2 linked regions of the Drosophila melanogaster genome follow. The protein of the gene in region 1 interacts with the protein of each later gene in a pairwise test. Each region holds a gene or a part of one and is shown on either strand. Other genes may lie near its edges. The genes, in order: tadr and CG12895.

The links.
Region 2: the proteins of tadr (region 1) and CG12895 interact in a two-hybrid assay, tested with the Drosophila melanogaster proteins (one large-scale study listed by BioGRID).

The regions. Positions count from the first base shown.
Region 1 is NT_033779.5:21,070,762-21,082,002, reverse strand, and holds tadr (torn and diminished rhabdomeres), read right to left. Parts: upstream 6,599-11,241; 5' UTR 6,302-6,598; coding exon 6,288-6,301; intron 4,645-6,287; coding exon 4,499-4,644; intron 4,441-4,498; coding exon 4,246-4,440; intron 3,910-4,245; coding exon 3,818-3,909; intron 3,733-3,817; coding exon 3,595-3,732; intron 3,037-3,594; coding exon 2,882-3,036; intron 2,714-2,881; coding exon 2,047-2,713; intron 1,967-2,046; coding exon 1,868-1,966; intron 1,803-1,867; coding exon 1,251-1,802; coding exon of another isoform or gene 1,149-1,250; 3' UTR 950-1,148; downstream 1-949.
Region 2 is NT_033778.4:10,434,871-10,441,229, forward strand, and holds CG12895 (uncharacterized protein), read right to left. Parts: upstream 2,513-6,359; 5' UTR 2,468-2,512; coding exon 2,450-2,467; intron 2,394-2,449; coding exon 2,212-2,393; intron 2,150-2,211; coding exon 1,879-2,149; 3' UTR 1,728-1,878; downstream 1-1,727. Other genes in the region: RanBPM (Ran-binding protein M), read left to right, coding at 48-159, 216-352. UniProt on the Drosophila melanogaster protein: Plays an essential role in the assembly of succinate dehydrogenase (SDH), an enzyme complex (also referred to as respiratory complex II) that is a component of both the tricarboxylic acid (TCA) cycle and the mitochondrial electron transport chain, and which couples the oxidation of succinate to fumarate with the reduction of ubiquinone (coenzyme Q) to ubiquinol.

The sequences.
Region 1 (11,241 bases):
TTATAAAATCGTTTTGGAACACCTATCTGAATTACATGCAGCTAGTATCGCTTGGGAAGAAAAAGAAAATGTAAAGATTTACGAAAGTTACAAAAATGTGCTCATTGAGTTACATTTGGATTCAAATAACTCGTGGTACATAACTGGACTTAAGGTTGGTAGATCGGTTACGAAATATGAAAACTGAATTGTTACACTTTATAAATTCCATAGGCAATCGTTTTTTTAGCAGCACGTAATCCGCATTTTCAAACAATGAAAGCTCAGAACTTTATTCAAGATAAGCTCTACAATCTTCTAACCAAGGCTGAAGAACTGGTCGCCCCCTCAAAGACTATAAGAAATGTACTCTGTCATCGAGACACTTGGGATCATAATATTGTGTACTATTTCAACAAGGAATCTTCAGTATTACCTAATGCCTGCTGCATTGTAGATTTTCAACTCACCCAGTATTGTTCTCCCACCTTAGATGTTTTATTCCTACTCTATATTGTAGCCTCCGCTGAAGTCAGAAGGGCGATTTATGATGAGTGTCTCGAGCACTATTATAAGAATCTACAGCATCACCTGGATCGTCTGGGTTTGGACAAGAATCTCATAACAGAAAATAACTTTAGAAAAGAGTGCCAAAGAACTCGATTGGCAGCCCTTGTTATTTGGGCTCTCACCGAACCTCAGACAAAAATGTCACCCAGTATTTCAAATAGATAACGATCCGAAGAACCGGAGAAGTTTGACTATTACCTCAACTGCGATCGGAGTGAGTTATTACTCAGGGTAATCGAGATTCAACCTGGTTACGAGGAGACCATTATGACGCCTATCAGGGAACTGGTGGATTACCTCATGGAGAATGAGAATTTATATATTTAGATGGCAGATAACATTCTATGCAGCTACGAAACTCTTACAATGTAAAATGATGTAACGATTGATTATACATTTTCGTTTTGAAAAATTTAATTTATTCTGAACTTAGTTGTACAGAGAGTCGCCTAGCTATATATTTGTAAATACATAAGTAAATTTCGACAATCAATTTAGCTAGCTAGAAAATTTCAGGCATATGTGGCTCGAAGCTGGATCGTCCTGGGGATCCGCATAGCAATTAAATAGTTTTCTAAACGGATTTTAAAAGGCGCAAGCTAATCAGTCCAGCAATCTTCGTCATCCTCCTCGTCAAAGTCGCGCACATTGAAGTCCTCGTGGAACAGGTCTTCGCCTTCCTCCTCCGAGGACTCCGACTGTCATCTGTGCTCGTTGATGCGCTGTGGCAAGCCGACTACGCCCATTCCCTTGGGCGGTCTGGGTATCCGGATGCTGGTGGAGGGACCCGCTAAATTTGATGCCGATCCCGACGCTGACCCCATGTTGCTCTTTCCCGAGACACTAGGTATCAGCTGGGCATTCATTATGGTGGTGTGCTCAAAACAATTGCAACAGTATTTATCGCATCTGATCACCAGAATGAGTCCAGCCATCAGCCAGATAAGCAATCCCGGCCAGGAATGTATAGCACAGCCACTGAATAGGATCACGCCCATCAGCAGCGACATTCCACAGATCACGGGACTCACGTTGATCACACTGCCCGTGTATTTGGGTATAAAACCCATCATAATGGTCACGATAAGAACCCCAATCCCTCCGGTCAACGCTGCCGGAGCCCAGTGCATCATGAGCCCGGCAATGCATAGGGCAATGCCCAATCCAATCACCACAATGGCGAAAATGGTCACGCGCCAGGAACTCACCGTAGGCACTCGCACACTGCGCTCCAAAGGTCCGGCGGTGGTTACCTGGAGAGTTGGAGGATGATTACATGTAGTGTCTATATTTACGTGTATTCATGGAGAGTTCTTACCTTAATCTTTTCACGATACTCATCCACAATGGCATCAATGTCGGTGGAGGTGTCCGAGTCACTTTTGTCAAATTTATCTGGGTACTCAAAGTCAGATGGCTTCATGCAAAATGTCAGAATATATATTTTTAATTGACATTTACCCTTAATAAACTTAATTAAGCACAGAAATCACTTACCGGTGGCTCGCCATCGGAAAGAATGGTGGACTCCACATCCCTGCCCTCTCGTTGAGGACAGGGCGAGGTGGGTTCACCCAGGAGCAGCCACTCCTTTTCCAGCTCTTGTTTGTTCCTGGGCTTGGTCTTCGGCTTTTTTAAGTTACTGTGCTTGGGCAGACCGATCTTCCAGAGACTTCTCTTTAAGCGACTCGAACTGGAAGTTGCGGCACTGCTGTAGCTGCTGCTCTTGGCAAACGGTGCTGTGGATAGGCGACTGTACGACAGTGAAGACTCGCTGCTGGGCGCCATATATTTGGGTCTGTAAGGGATGTATAGGAGGTAAAGGGCCCTCAGGAATACCCCACCCATGTGGCCAGCGGCTAATGTGTAACTGAGATGCTGTAGTGGACAGGCGAAGGCCAACATGGCACACATGCTGCCGGCGATGAACACAGCCAGCACGGGGTTACCACTCTCCGAGCTCTCATAACTGATCTGCTTGGACAGTATTCTCCACTCCGAGGTGGCCAGTCGCACAACAATACCATATAGTTCCGGAAAGAGCTCCAGAAATGCCGCCGAACTCGTCAAAAGCAACATGCAAGCCGAGGCAGGAACCAACTTATGGAAGCCGTTTTCATCCAGAATGTTGAACAAGGGCACGGCTACATAGTCCTCCTGAGATCTGAAAGAACACATAAAATGTATGTATGTATGTCAAGCCACGCTATTGGTTTAAATATACATCATCATTAAGGATATCTCTAGTACAAGTTCACAAAACATTTGTACAGTAGCCGATAACAGTTGTACAATATGTCTTTTTCCATTATTATCGCATTGTCAGACTCACCTATAATGCACCACCGTCGACAGACAAATGGCCGTCAGCAGCAGCGAAGTACTGACCAATCCCGTAATTAGAGTCGCCGTGAATCGTCCACCTCGAAGTTGTTGGGGCCAATCGCCGGGGAAGGAGTAGGTGAGCAGGGCAGTACCCAGGAAGACCTGAGTGTGGTGGTTTGAACTAGTTATCAGACGGATAATTTTGCAAATAGCAGCAGACTTTCCCCACCAATGCTGGTTGCTAGTGTATAAATTGACTTCTCTATGAAATTTTTTGATTTCTCTATGATTTTTTTGGTCTATAAAAGGCACTACAAATTTTTAAATTACTGGACTGAATAACTTAAAAAGTAATACATTATGCTGTATTTAAATCAAAGCTCTTTTATTACGAATACTCTAAGTATTACCAACTCCGGCAAACTAAGCGCCAAAAAATTTTCCATGTTTTTGCTGTCTGACTGGCGGCTTTCCGCGAACGAATACCAGTGAAAGGAGGCCAAAAAAAAACAAAAACGAAACGCAGCAGTACGTGTCATAATCAAAAGCCCGTATCCTGTGGATTCAGCTGCGGTCACGCAAATGTTCCCGGTCACGACAGCGAAAATCGATGGGACTTGGCAAACAAAAAAAAAAAAAACAAAGCTCAGACTGGCACAGTGCACTGACCCACTATCGAAGTTCCAGTTGGTATGGGGTCTAACGTCTACGGCCACTTACACTGCTAATGCCATCGGGCTGGAAGTAGCTATCCGCAGACCAGGCCAACATGTCGCCCCGCCACCAGCCGACGGCGCTTAAAATGGCGTTCAAGCCAAACATGCCAAGAGTCAGGATGAGGCTGAAGGCCCTCGAGTGCTGTGAATACGCAAATGCAGTGAGTGTCGCGATAAGTGGGTGGATTTGGATTTAAACTCGGCTTCGGATTCGGAGGAGTACCCACCTCCAGGCCCAGCATGAACATCCCAGTGACGAGGAAGACAACCGACACGCCAAGAACATCCGGCCACGGCTCATTCGCGGGTGCATTGCGGCCTGAAAGTAGGCAACATAATATTTGAACAGGTCGGCCAGCACAGTTCACGCCAAAATATTACGCATACATAACAAAATATATGCGATATGATAATATACATCAAGTTTATTATTTTATGACAAAAACGAAATTAATATATATTTAATAATTACAGTTCTGTTTGTTTCTTAGAGCACCATATGGTACTTAATTATTTTCGAAGAAGTGGCTTTACTTATAAGTATGTATGTATAATAGTTTGCTAATTAGGTCGTATCTCGTATTTCTAATGGTTTTGTTATTCCTTGAACCAATGTATTGTGCTACTTTATTTACAAGCATCTGTTACCACTCACCCAATATGAGAATCCTGGCCAGACCTCCGGTCATGGCGTCCAAGCAGGCACTGAGGGTCCTCGCCAGGGCAGCGCAGGCACACACGGTGGCCAGAGCATCTAGCCAGATGGCCAGAAACAAACAGCTAAAGTCGAATTTATTTGTGGCCCGCACATACGGCATTTGCAGGCTGCGGAGGCTAGTTTTACAGCGGGCTGGAACAAAGAATTAACTTACTTTGGAATATTTACAAGTATTCCACCTAACTCCCACCTGCCATTGCGCCATAAACGGTGGCCAAGACAACGCCAACCAGCAGGCTGGGAGCGGAAGCCTCGTTGTAGACAATCAGATAGGAGATTACCGAGGCTCCGAGGGCCAAACGGGCGCCACTGCCGCTGCAGAGCACGTCCAGCAGGCTGCAAGGATAATTCAAAGGACGCACGGGGGCAAGTTAAATTAAATTGCCTGCGAGGAACTGGCGTAATGAATACAAAATTGTGCAAATTAGACTGCTCATTTCCTTATACTTTTATGTTGGCTTAAGAATCGTAGCGAAAAGATGTGTATAATTAAATATATATGCGGTCAGAATACTAAATGGTTTTGGAAGTCTTTTAATGACATTTTTACTCGGAACTTTATCTGAGCATTTATGAAGACTTAATTGCACACTTACTTTTAATTGAAGGGATTAATCATGCGCAAAACATTATTTTTAGATCAAAGTTCGCAAAGCCCATAATAATACCATTGGCTTCAATATACTGGCAAAAATGAGTATGGTTTGACTTAACTTTTTCGACTGATTTTACTTGCGAAGGTGCATTTGCCTACATGACGGAGTGGAACTAAGGACTCAGTCACCTTTGACGGGATATGACTTCTGTGGTTAGACACCCACAGAAACACGAACGGAAATCCATACAACTTTAAGTAACCACAACCACGCTTACAAGCACAGTTTTTGGCGCCAAACTGACATTGGGAGGGATTACAGCACAAAAAATTCTTTCATAAGGAAGGTAAGAAAAATATATATTTTTTTAAATCATTTTTATCTATTTTAATTTTAATGGGAAATTAATAAACATATTTTCCCAGTCAACATTTAAATAAACATTTCATCAAGCAATTTTCAATTATATGTGGTTGCAGTGCAAGAACAAACAGGGAAAGAGTGGTGAAAGGAGATCGCGCCTGTTTGCTCTGAGGCTCTGGTGGCTTTGCCTCCTCTCGGATGCCATGAGTCATAGCCTGTTTTTTGGGGATATCCCCTTACGCCATTGGTATTGAAGCTTCTATTTTCCTCCCTTTCCCAGGCCAATTTTCTGCTGCTTGTAATTATGTGTACTCTGTGTGCATATTTTAAGCAGCTCGATTATCCTAATTACATGGCCAGCTGCTGGCGGGCTATCAGGTTTCTAGCTTTGGCCTTGCTAAGCTGGGAGTGAAATAATAGTGGGGGACACTTTTTCGTGAATCTAATTTTCCACATTTTCCGAACGAATCTTTGACCCAGCTTAGAGAATGAGATGCTTTAAAACAGTCAAGGTACACTTTGCGGTACACTTAGGTTTGTTTATAGTTGTTTCTTGTATATGTAAAATTATCCGTTCGTATCGAACTTGTTGAGCTCCCAAGAATGATATTTGAATACATAACTAAATAAACAAGATTTTTTTCCTATGTCCTTGTGTCTCTGTTTGTCTCCGTATCTTCATAGAATTAGAATTCATGCACAGCTTGAATATATCAAGTATACGCACAGTGGTCGGGCACTTGAATGGGCCAAGGTAAATCGCAGCGAAAAAGCCAGTCAGTGCGACGCCGCCAGAGGAAGAACGAAAGGAAAGCAAATACCAGTCAGAAGACAACAGAAAAACTAAAACGAGGAGACCAAGAACGAGGAAGAATACCCACACACATGCCAATCAAAAATCAATTTATTGATTACATGACAAATATCAGCCATAACAACTGCCAGATATGGTCGAAATGGCTGTCGAGTATAGGCCAAATGTATTTATTGTATGAATGGATATGGGCTAGAGAATCCTACCTGCCACTCGACATTGTCGTTGTTGTAGCAAAGGTTACTGTGGTTTTCACTCAGCTAGCAATCGGCCAGGTTCAAAATGTGATTTGCTGCTCATCTTGTGGCAGAACTTGGCCAACAATGACTGCCATTTTGTAGTGATCTTTTATTAAAATTTATATTAGATACTCCAACACTTCAGCACTTGAGCTTTAGCCCTTAATTAGCCAACACGCTTGAGAGGTAACTTCTGCTCTTGACACGTAACCTGGTAAAATATGGGGGAAGTGCACAGGTAACGCGTAACCGCTCGCTTAAATTGGCCGCAATCCACTGAATGTTCACTTGAAGCTTTTCCTCCGCCGCCCAAACAGCTTTCGCCCGATTCCGACGCACAGCTGTCCACCGGATTCGGAATCGGATAAAGATTCGGATTCAATTCAATACTGTCCTGCGCAGTGGACGTTGTTTACGTTTACAGTTGGTTGGCCTGCCTTCTGCTCTTTGGTGAGAAAATGGGAAATGGGAAATGGGAAAGTGGGTTGGGTGGGGTGGAAAATGCGGAGGGTCTCTGCATTTGGTACTCGAAAGAGTTGCACAAGTGCAATCGTTTTGCATAGCTAATGTACTTTATTTTTGAATTTACTGCAGCTCCGTCTATAAATATACTGATTTCCTCAATAAGAAATTTATATATAAGGAACACTCAAACTAAAGCTAATAAATCGTATACCTACTTAGTATTGATAAACATGGCGCCTAAGCTAATATTAGAATATCTTTTGCAACTCGGCGAAGCTAGAAAATCTGGTTATATTTCTTTGAATTCTACTGTCTAGACGACTTTTTATAATTATTTTTTTTGACTTCTCCCATAAATCCAACACATTTAAATGTACAGTTTTAATAAAACAAAGTATTCTCGGAATAACAATACTGCAAGTGATTTGAAAAATCACACTCCTCAATTTAAATCTTAAGGTGAAGTATGTGTACTTTTTTCATTCCGGCAACAAAAACCTAATACGAACATACAGAATTTAAGGTCACGTAATATAAATATCATCAAGATTACTAGTTTAGATTAGGAATAAAAACGAAATTAAGGAAGTACACCATAATCACATAGGTATGACAAACAACAACGTTTAACAAATGAAAGCCACATTTCAAATGTTTAGCACGTTAAATATTATTTTTACACCTATAAGTATTTTGCTCTTGCGTTCATTAGTTAAAGTGCATTCAAATGTGTATTGACGGGTTACTTTTAAAATGTAAAAACAAATCAATCAGGTATCTTAAGCTACCATTCTTTTATTATATTTTCGTTACGAAGTAAAATTTTCCATCTTTAAATAATAATTCCTACCTTCTTTTTAACGAGCCGAATGGAACCTAAAGAATATTATATTCAAAGTTGTTAGATCTGGCATTTATCTGAGAAGGCGACCTTGACTTGTGCAAATGACTCCCGCAAGTTGTGCTAAAATTTGAAACAAACAAATGCGAGAAGCCGCTAAAATAAACAGTTAAGACGGCTTCAAGCCCGATTGGAGACCTTGTGGTAGAAGGTAGAATCCTATCCTATCGAGAGTGTTCTATTTTCGGTGAAAAACATAACTAGTGGAGCTGGCTTTAGCAGCAATCTCTGAATTTGTCTAGAACGAAACGGGTTTTCTGTGGACAATCAAACGGCAGACAGCGGTCATAAAAACCAAAACAATAAAATGCAAACTATCTCAACTTATACCAAGCCGTTTAATTCGAACGTGTGCACTTCAGCAAAGTATCTCTGGAGTTTTTTAGAGGTTGCTCTCGTCAAATCAACGACTCCACGGATCGACCTTCTGACCAACTTTAACCGACGTTGGTCATAATTGGTCGGATGTTTGACCTTTTTACTTGTGATTTATTTACTAATTCAAGTAAAAATAAAGTTTCTTCTATTTTTGGCAAAGGCTACCTTGTCCGGTTTAAAAATAAAGTTTAGGCGAAATTTATGAGTGTTTCAAGCCGCCTACTATACTTTGATTGGGTCTTACTGTCTGTCTTACTTCGTACATTTGTTACTATATTAAATCAATACCATACCATCGATTTTCTTACAACATCTTACATAGGTTTCAGGCATGACGGACGTTCACGATAAGACTTTAGAGCATTTATGTTAATTGAAATCAAAGACAGAGACAATATAATCAAAATTCAATGTCATTTCGGTTTCATTTGTCTTTTTTCTTTGGGAATGTGGCTCTATGAAGTCGGAAGTTGTTGGTCAGGTTTACAAATAGCACTTTATTGGACGAAACAATTATGATTTGCTGTGGCAGATCAATGGTTAACAGACTCATCGAGATTTGTTTTCCCATATGTTAAAATTTTATGTGAAATCGACATTAAAATTCCGAAAAACAGTTTAAACGCATGTTATTTTTGACGTATAGTATTTAATATGTTAATTCTTATGACTCACTTGACTATTCTAGTAAGAATATATAAGCTGAGAATAATAATATAAGCTTGTTAATTAAATAGTGTTAGCTATTTGCAAATAGTGTATAAGCTACAGCTGAAAACGAATGTAATTTTGTAACTGTAATTTTTTTTTTTGTAATTAACTCTATATATATATATATTTAATATACTTTAACGAATCAGATGAAAATTAGTTTCACAAACAATAGAACCGGTATTGTTGGGTCCCCAAATCTACAAAATTCTACAAGCTCTGCAACGCAATTCGCGGGAACTAAAAAAGCCCGATATTCTTAACGAGAATCCCCTCAAGCATTTCAAATTTGCAAATAACCAAGAAATATAAAATACTTCAGAAGGCGAAGCGCAATTAGCACCACACATATGAGATTCCCAAGACTCACAAAAAATTGTTTACGGTAGCCAATCGATGACCATGACGCTATATGATTTTTGGCCAATAATTATCAAGCTCCTTATTGTAGTCAGATAAATCATAATTAATAATAATAAGCGAGGTTTAGGCTGTTCTAGCCAAATGGGCCATCATCGCCGGCACAGGAAATGTGAACAGCATAATGTCCAAGTCATCGGATAACACATGGCACAAAACAAAACGTTCGTTTTCGGTCATTACGAAACACTAACCGGAAGTCAGATGCTAAAACCAGAATTCTGATAGGAAGTAAAATAGGTTAACGTTCAGATTGGCGCTTGGCTTTCAAGACTCACCTTTGTGCTGGTTCTAACGGGTTTTTTGCGAAGGCTACCTGTTGATTCATTTGCGATTGTCTGCCTCTATCACGGGGTTCTTTTGGCCAACACAATCTGCGTGTTTTAAGCTTGGACACGGACTCGTATTTGGCCAGAGTGCAGCTTATATTTCACTTTCGGTCAACAGGGCACGAGGTTGAATTCTCGAAAAAGTTGAAAACATGCGCGCAGACCTGCTCGCTTTTGATGGCACAGAACAAATGGAAAATTGTTGTTTTGGGTTTAATTATGGCGGAAATTGGCAAGAAATAAATTGTGGTGAAGCGATTAAGAAAAGGGAAATATTTTATTTTGGTGGCGTAGTGTTGTTGAATAGCACTGATTAAACTGGGTTTATGCGGAGTTTGGCTACCGGAGAAATGATTGGACATCTGTTTTATGGCTAATATAACTGATTAAAAATGTCAAATTTCATTCTCAGTTCCTGTTAACGCCTAATGCTTATTATACCCGATACTCTTACTCTACGAGTACTAGATTCGTTGAAAGGTATATAAAATATTAATATTCTTGATCAGGATCAAATGTGTACGAACACATTTTTGAAAAACTTTTGGATATTTTTTCCTAATTTAATAAGTCATTAAATTTTTATCGATTTGTCAAAAAAACTGTTTGCCACGCCCACTCTAACTCTCTAATCGGTTCCGCCCACACTTTTGAACAATTTTTAAATTTTTTCTCGTTTTATTCCCCAATATTTATCGATATTCCAGAAAAATTATGAAATTTTCCATTCGCACTCACACTTGCTGAGTACGTCGTAGATACTCGTTATAGGTTTGTTCATTTTAAATACTAACGACTGTATTTGTTGAAGCCACCTGGCAACTCTGATTACCAAGTCGTGACTGAATCCCTCTCTTCAGAAAACAACCACTGAAACCTCAGAAGCCCAAAGGAACAGCTGAGTTCGCGCCCTTTTCAACATTCCCTCCAGCCCCTTTCATCCGCATTTTTTCTCTCACTGCGCCTGCGTCCCAAGTGTCAAAAATCGTCGCGAAAAGCAGTCGAAAAATATAAATATACGGACGAAACAAAATTAGCCGGACACAAAAAGAATGCTGGCAGTTCCAGTACATAAATTTGCATTTGTTGGGAATTAATCGATTAAGTGCGTGCCGGTTGACCGGAAAGTTAAATTACAATATTATATTATATATGTACGCACATGTGTATTTGCAGGTAATAACACCCAGCGGTGAATAAGTGGAGTTAAGTATGTTTAATATAAGCATAGAAAGTGAAAGAATTTTTTTTTTATTTTTGTGCCCAAAAGTGCTCACATAATTCCGCAAGTGGCCTTAAACATTTTTATCAGTTTCTTGACCCGCATGACTTCTTGCTCAAAATGCAAATCGAAGTCTAAAAAACGCACGTATACAAAACAAACGATATCAAGTCAAATAACAAAAATTTGCCTATTATGCAATCCGAAGATGTGACGAAATCTTTAAGAACGGCCAGCCATACACCATTTCATGCGATTAACATAACCAGTTTTTAATGAGAAAAAAGCAAGAGACCAACTCTCGAACTTGGTGGCTTTGTGCGAGTATGTGTGCGCAAAAGAAGGGTAAAGGAATACAAGGAATGAGAAGGAAAGAGAGCCGAGGTGCATTGCGATGTCGACAAGAAGGAAAGAGGATATAAGTTGGCCATAAGTGCATTTAACCAAATTTACGGGCAGTCGACTTTCATCCGAGGCACAAATAAAGTACAATAA
Region 2 (6,359 bases), on another chromosome or scaffold:
ATATGATTATCCGTAATCGAGAGATATTCAATTTATGGTTGTTACAGGATGCATTTAGTCTGATTGCCTACTCTAATCCTTGGTCCAGTCCGCTGGGCTGGTTGCTGTGTCCCTCGCGACGTGAGAGTGTTTCCACCACACTCAACTCGGCCATATTGGGTAAGTCTTTAAACACTTGTCTCGAAACGAAGTTACTAATTACTATGATTATGCAGAGTCCCTGAACTTCGAGCGTCGTCCGCCGCTGGAATACCTGGTGGCTCACGCCTCGGAGCTGATCAAGGTGATCGGACAGCACTCGCTGGGCGAGGACGCTTTCATTACCATCGACGATGTGTTCCCGCAAAATTGACCCAGTTCCCCGACGCTGCTGAAGATGTTCGAGACCACGCTGACCCTGCCGCGAACCAGTGTGCTTACGGAACCGTTGGGCAGCGCCGGAACCGGATCTGGGCCCTCCACATCAACGGCTGCCGTGGCAGTTCAGACCAGCAAACGACGCCGAAGGCGGCGTAACAAACGTCGCCGCAAATCCTCCCTGTCCAGCAATACCGATGCCCCGTCGTCGCGGACCTACGATCCCGTGATGACGGGCAGTACGCTCCGGTCGGCAGCTGTGGCATCGGTGGGCGGGGGCACGGGCACGGGACCAGTGCGTCGGGGTCGTCGCAGGAGCGGGGTCAGCTCATCTTCATCGGCGGCAGCGGCTGCAGCAGCGGCAGCGGAGGAGGAGGCGGAAGAAGCGGAAGCGGAGGCGGCTCGCCAGGAGGAGGAGGAAGCGGAAATCTTGAGCGGAAACAGCAGCCCATCGATGTTCGTCGATCCGCAGGACTTCTTCGAGACACTGGACTAAATTTAGATTATTTACAATTTGCAGTAGGTTAAATTTTGTTGTTACTTCCGTTCTCTTTCTTTTTTACCTGCGCAACCGGCTTCAGTGCGCCTATTTAAAACTAATCGCCGTTCTTTTAATTGTTCGATTATGCTAAAGATGCTATGCGTTTGGCGGCCTTTGATTTGGCGTGATTTTTAATAACTTTTAACATATATTTTATATAGCCTCTCTAAGCATAAAGTGTGTAATATTATGATGTATAATTAAATTTGCGAAATGTGCTGCGACACGACCCTTGAAATTGAATTAGCCCTTTGTTTTTCGCTTCCACCGCCCGAAACACAACAATCACACACCAAAATATAATCTAGAATTGATAGTGAAGGGACTAGCCTGGAGCAAAAGCTGTTCAATCATCTCCTTAGCATGTTAATATAGAACCGAATCCATAGTTAACTGGTAGACATTCGCGTTTTAATTCTCCGTGTTTTCAGCGATTTTCGATGGACTCCGCGCCATCCCGTGTCTTGTGGCAAGACTAAGCAAAAGCAAATGAACATTTTAAGTGTAATGTTTCGCTATAGTGTTTAAGCGTATTAAAATTTAATCTATATATACAAGATTGGTCATACACACATTCGGCAAACATGAATAGAATTTAACTGGATAATCGTTTAAATATATTGTATGGATGTGTATTTCAGGAAAGCGAGAACTGTGTTTTAAAGGGGGTTCAAATTGGATTAAATATATGCCATTCTGACAATGTGTTCAGTTTTATATATTAAAATTGTATCTTTTCAAATGTCATGATTTGTTGATTAAGCTGAAGTTTTCAACAAATAAAAATAAAAATGAAAGCACATTCAAATTACCAAATCACTTGCAACCGTATTATTTATTATTCCGTATAAATGATCGTTTTTAAATACCAGGTAAAATGCAAGTTCAAGTCATTGGTCTTTTAAGGATCAGGAGTAGAATAACACATTCATTTAATACATTGTTTTGTATGCTTATATATATAATATAGTTTATAATGTTCACAAATCCGGCTGCCTTATCCTTTGCACTTTTTCATGATTTTTGACGTGCTCCTTTAGCAGACGCATTATTTCGGTATCGAATTGAGGAGGTGTTGGCTTGGTATCGGTGGCCCAGTAGAATATATCCCAGTCGTTGCTGACACCATTGATCAACTGATCGTACTCGGCGGTCTGCTCGGCATTGAAGTCCTTCAAATGCTTGGCCACAAAAGTGCTCAGCAAGAGATCGTTTTCCAGCATTCCGCGTTTCCTGCTTTGATACAAAAGGCTGCACAAGATAATGAATGATCATAAGTAGGAGTTTGGGATATTTTCATTTTAAGCGTATACCGCTGCTTGCGAGTTTCCAGCGGCTCATCGGGACGGACAGGATATTCCGGAACTGGCAAATGCGGCGGATCATCGTAGTCCACAATTTCCCCGGGTGTTGTGTACTCAGTTTTGTCCAAATTGCTGGCGAGGCGACTTTGGGCCATCATAGGTAGTTGCAGGCGACGGCCTACCGTAGATACCTGTGTCCAATTAAGCAATCAATTATATTTTACTACATTTGGGGCCATAAACTTACTATAAATTGCCGCAACATTTTAGGAAACGACCAAAACAATGATATAACGACAGTGTTGGCTAAGAAAGTTAAGTATAATCGATAGATTCCTGCTATAATAATCGGCTGTTGCTATAAATAGTGCTGGAAAGTGCACACTTTGTTGAATTAATCATTTATTTTATTTAACCGTTCAAACCTCAGGCGAATTTAAATTAAAATAGTTGTTTTATTTTAAATATGAATATATTTGGGAGAATATGCACTGCAATTGTTATGAAAGGTATGCGAATTTTTAATAATTATTTGCAATAATATAAATAAAAAATATATCTCTATTTGTATCACTTAAAGCTCAAATATTGTATTCATGAGATCCTTTTGAGTGGCCTGCTATTTAAAATCCAGATAAGTTTCAAAACATAATAAAAAAATAAATGTCTGTACATACAAAGTGATGCAAAATATTTATTGAAACTAAAGTGAGCATGTTCTTTCATATTTATATAAAACATTTTATTAAATTATATGTATATAAATAGCGGAAGATTTTAACAAATTTAAATTTTTAAATATAAGCTTGTTTTGCAGCAGCTGTTGTTGCGGCCAGTGCTGGTCAACAGCCACCCCCGCCGCGTCCAGTGCTGCGCACCGACGCCGCCAACAGCTGTTCGAACGCCTCGCTCTGCAGTTGGAAAGAGCGAACGAAGCGAGAGAGAGCAGCTAAATTTTCGCACACCAGAAAAGTGCAATTTACCAATATCACTGCGGCCAAAAATACAAGTGCAAGTGCTCGGCAAGTGCAACGGTAAACTATCACGATCGGTGCAATAAATACAGCGAGTCGCGAAAAAGAAGCGCAAAGCGAACGGAACCAATAAGAACAGCCAAACGCAAAAGAGAGCCTCCTGCACACACACGCACACAGCAGGCTGAAGCAGACCCACACACACGCATACACTAGTGCGGTGTGTATACGACTGGAAAACTAGGCGGTGGTAAATGTGAAGCTGAAAAAAGCTGAAAAAAAGGAAAAGGAAAACTCGTGGGGTGGTGGGTGGCGGCCCAGTGGGCGGGGGGTGTGGCGTGTGCAGCGCGTGAGAGTGCGTAGTGCGTGCGTGTGAGTGAGTGAGTGTGTGCGCGCGTGTGAGTGAAACAGCGACAAACTAAATGAAAATTTATACATCCGAAATGGTTAACAGTTTGCATAAAAACGGCATTACTTTTTGCATATGTTAATGTGCTTAGGCAAACGCTCGAAAAAGAAAACTCCACAACCCACCGCCTTTTTTTCCACCAACCCGGCGCTTTTTTAGCGCCTACGCCCACGCTTAATACATACACACTGCATAAAAAACATACAAATAAAACCAAAAAAAAAAAAAAACAAACAAAATTTATAAAAGTTTTATTAAAAGTGTGACAACAAAAAATAAGTGGTATCCAAAAAATAAGCTTGAGTTTTTGGCTCTTTGACCTCGAGACTAATTCACTTACATGATAAATTACCATCGTTCTTATCGCGATCCAGCATTATCTGATGGATTTATCTTATCAGCGCGATTGATGAATTTTGTATCGATATCGCAAACATGCTCCATATGCAAATTAGCTGGCTATCATTGCTTTTATTTTTACTTTGCGTCTGCTGATAAAAAACAAAAGCAACATAATTGATACAGTGCGCGGCCCATTGCACAGACAGTGGCGGTCATAAAATTAGTGCTTGTCTCAGTACAGTACAACATCCATAGAGCGAACGATGTGTTCCATAAACCTTGTAACATCAGTTTAAAATAATCTTTTTAACTATTACATACAAATTAATATACAGCTGTGTTTCTCATAATAGTTGAGTAACAGAAAGAATATTACAATTACAATTACAATTTGTGTTTATACACAGCAGACAAAATTAATTTAAGATAACTCAACATTATTATTTTGAACTCGGCTGTATATTTAACACATCCTTGATATTCATTGGTTCGCCTTATCGATCGCGCACTGTTTATAGTGAATCATCCGCTGACCCGTGTATTTGTTATTGTTGATGGGTTCAATACTCCATTTCAGTTGAAATCGTTAAACTGTACATAAGCAAATAAGACATAAAGAAAAAAGTCCAGGAAAATTGGAAAACAAAAGCCCGAAAACCGAAAAGCCCCGTGTAAATCCGAATCCGAATCCAAATCAGTATCCAAACCCAACCACAATGGGCTGCACCACATCCGCCGAAGAACGCGCCGCCATCCAGCGATCCAAACAGATCGAGAAGAATCTAAAGGAGGATGGAATCCAGGCGGCCAAGGACATCAAGCTCCTGCTGCTGGGTAAGTGCACTTTTCGTCGCTTTTTCTCGTTTTTCCACTTGGGTTTTTCTCACCGGAAATGGAAATCCTGCTCAGCGTTTACCTTTCCACTCGACTCGACTCTATTGTTCGTTCTATTTTGGTGGAAATTGCTGGTTTATCTATCGGCCGCCAGATTCCGGGGCACTTGGAAAATTTTATTTTCGGTTTTATGTGCCGATAGATAGGGGGATATTTATTGCACACACTTTTACTCTGCGGCGGAAATGCTGGATGTACTGGACGCAATTTTGGATTAGCTGCTCTTCAATTTCCATCAAGGCTTATATCAGAGTTCACATTTTTTAGAAGATTCAAAGACTGGAATAAAAGTAAATTCAAAAACTATGATTTTTGTATGTACTGACTGGTTATTTAAATTAAATGTAATGACTTGTTGCCCCACAAAAGGAATCGAACTCAAGGTTATTCCACTCTATTTGAGTGCTGATGAATCGATTCCATGACAAAACTATTTTTAGCGTGTTTTTTTTGGCCAAGGCGAAACCGAAGTAATTTGGGTCAACTTTTGGGTGTTGCATGTGGCATGGATATCCGAAAATAAAATGGACTCATGCACCACTGTGCATGCAACATCTTAGACAATGGCAGCAGCAACAGTTGCATCCGCCCTCGTGGCAGGCGAGTGTGAAAACCTAAACAGTTTCGAGGAGCCATGTGGCCTGCGGATGACTCGGTCCGATTAAAGTGGTTTCAGTACCAAACAGTTCGATAGTGATGAAATAATTACAATGTTTTTAAAAAATATATAAAATAATGACTAGAATTAGCCAAATCTAAGAAAACAGTGCAAATTATCTGAACATAGCTTAAGAATTTAAAGATGCTAAAAAATCATCATGTAGATATTGTCTTTGCTGTCATCTCTATCCTGCATCAGCCTGAATCTCATCGTCGAGTGCATCTGTGAGCTGCAGCTGCAGCCTTAGCCTTAGCCTTAGATTTTGTCCAAGTGCGTCTGCATCCGCCAAAAGATGAGGGCAATCGACGCCACTTGACATTGAAACAATTGCACGTGTGTGCCAGTGGGCGGGTGTGCACCATGTAGCATGGTTTCGAGGTGCAGTGTTTGTTAACCTGGTTGCGCCACTGACACCGAAATGTCAGTTAATCCCATTGACTTTGACTTGCCCCCGAAAACGAGATAGGGATGCAGTCAGGCAGAAAAAGGACAAAGCTGCAATATGCACGGGAATTTCTCTTTCACTTTAACATTGTACACAAACATGTTGCGAAAAACAAGCAAAATCTCCATATCGTGGATGCACTTAAAGCAGCATTCAAACAAACCAAAAGTTAAAGATATAAAGTTTACAAAACATTTAATGCTTAAACCAAAAATAAACCAGATCAAAGTACTTCTTATATGACTTAGTTAAGATAGATGCCTTTTTTTTTTTTTGGAACAAGTTTCTCAAGTTAATACATATTCCCCTGCTCTGTAACCCGTTTTTGTTTGCTGTGTAGGCCCATTACTTCCCACACAGTTGCTCGCTGTTGTTCTGTGCAATCAGGCAAAACTTTTAAACGCCCTAACAAGCAACAAGGAGCAGAGTCGA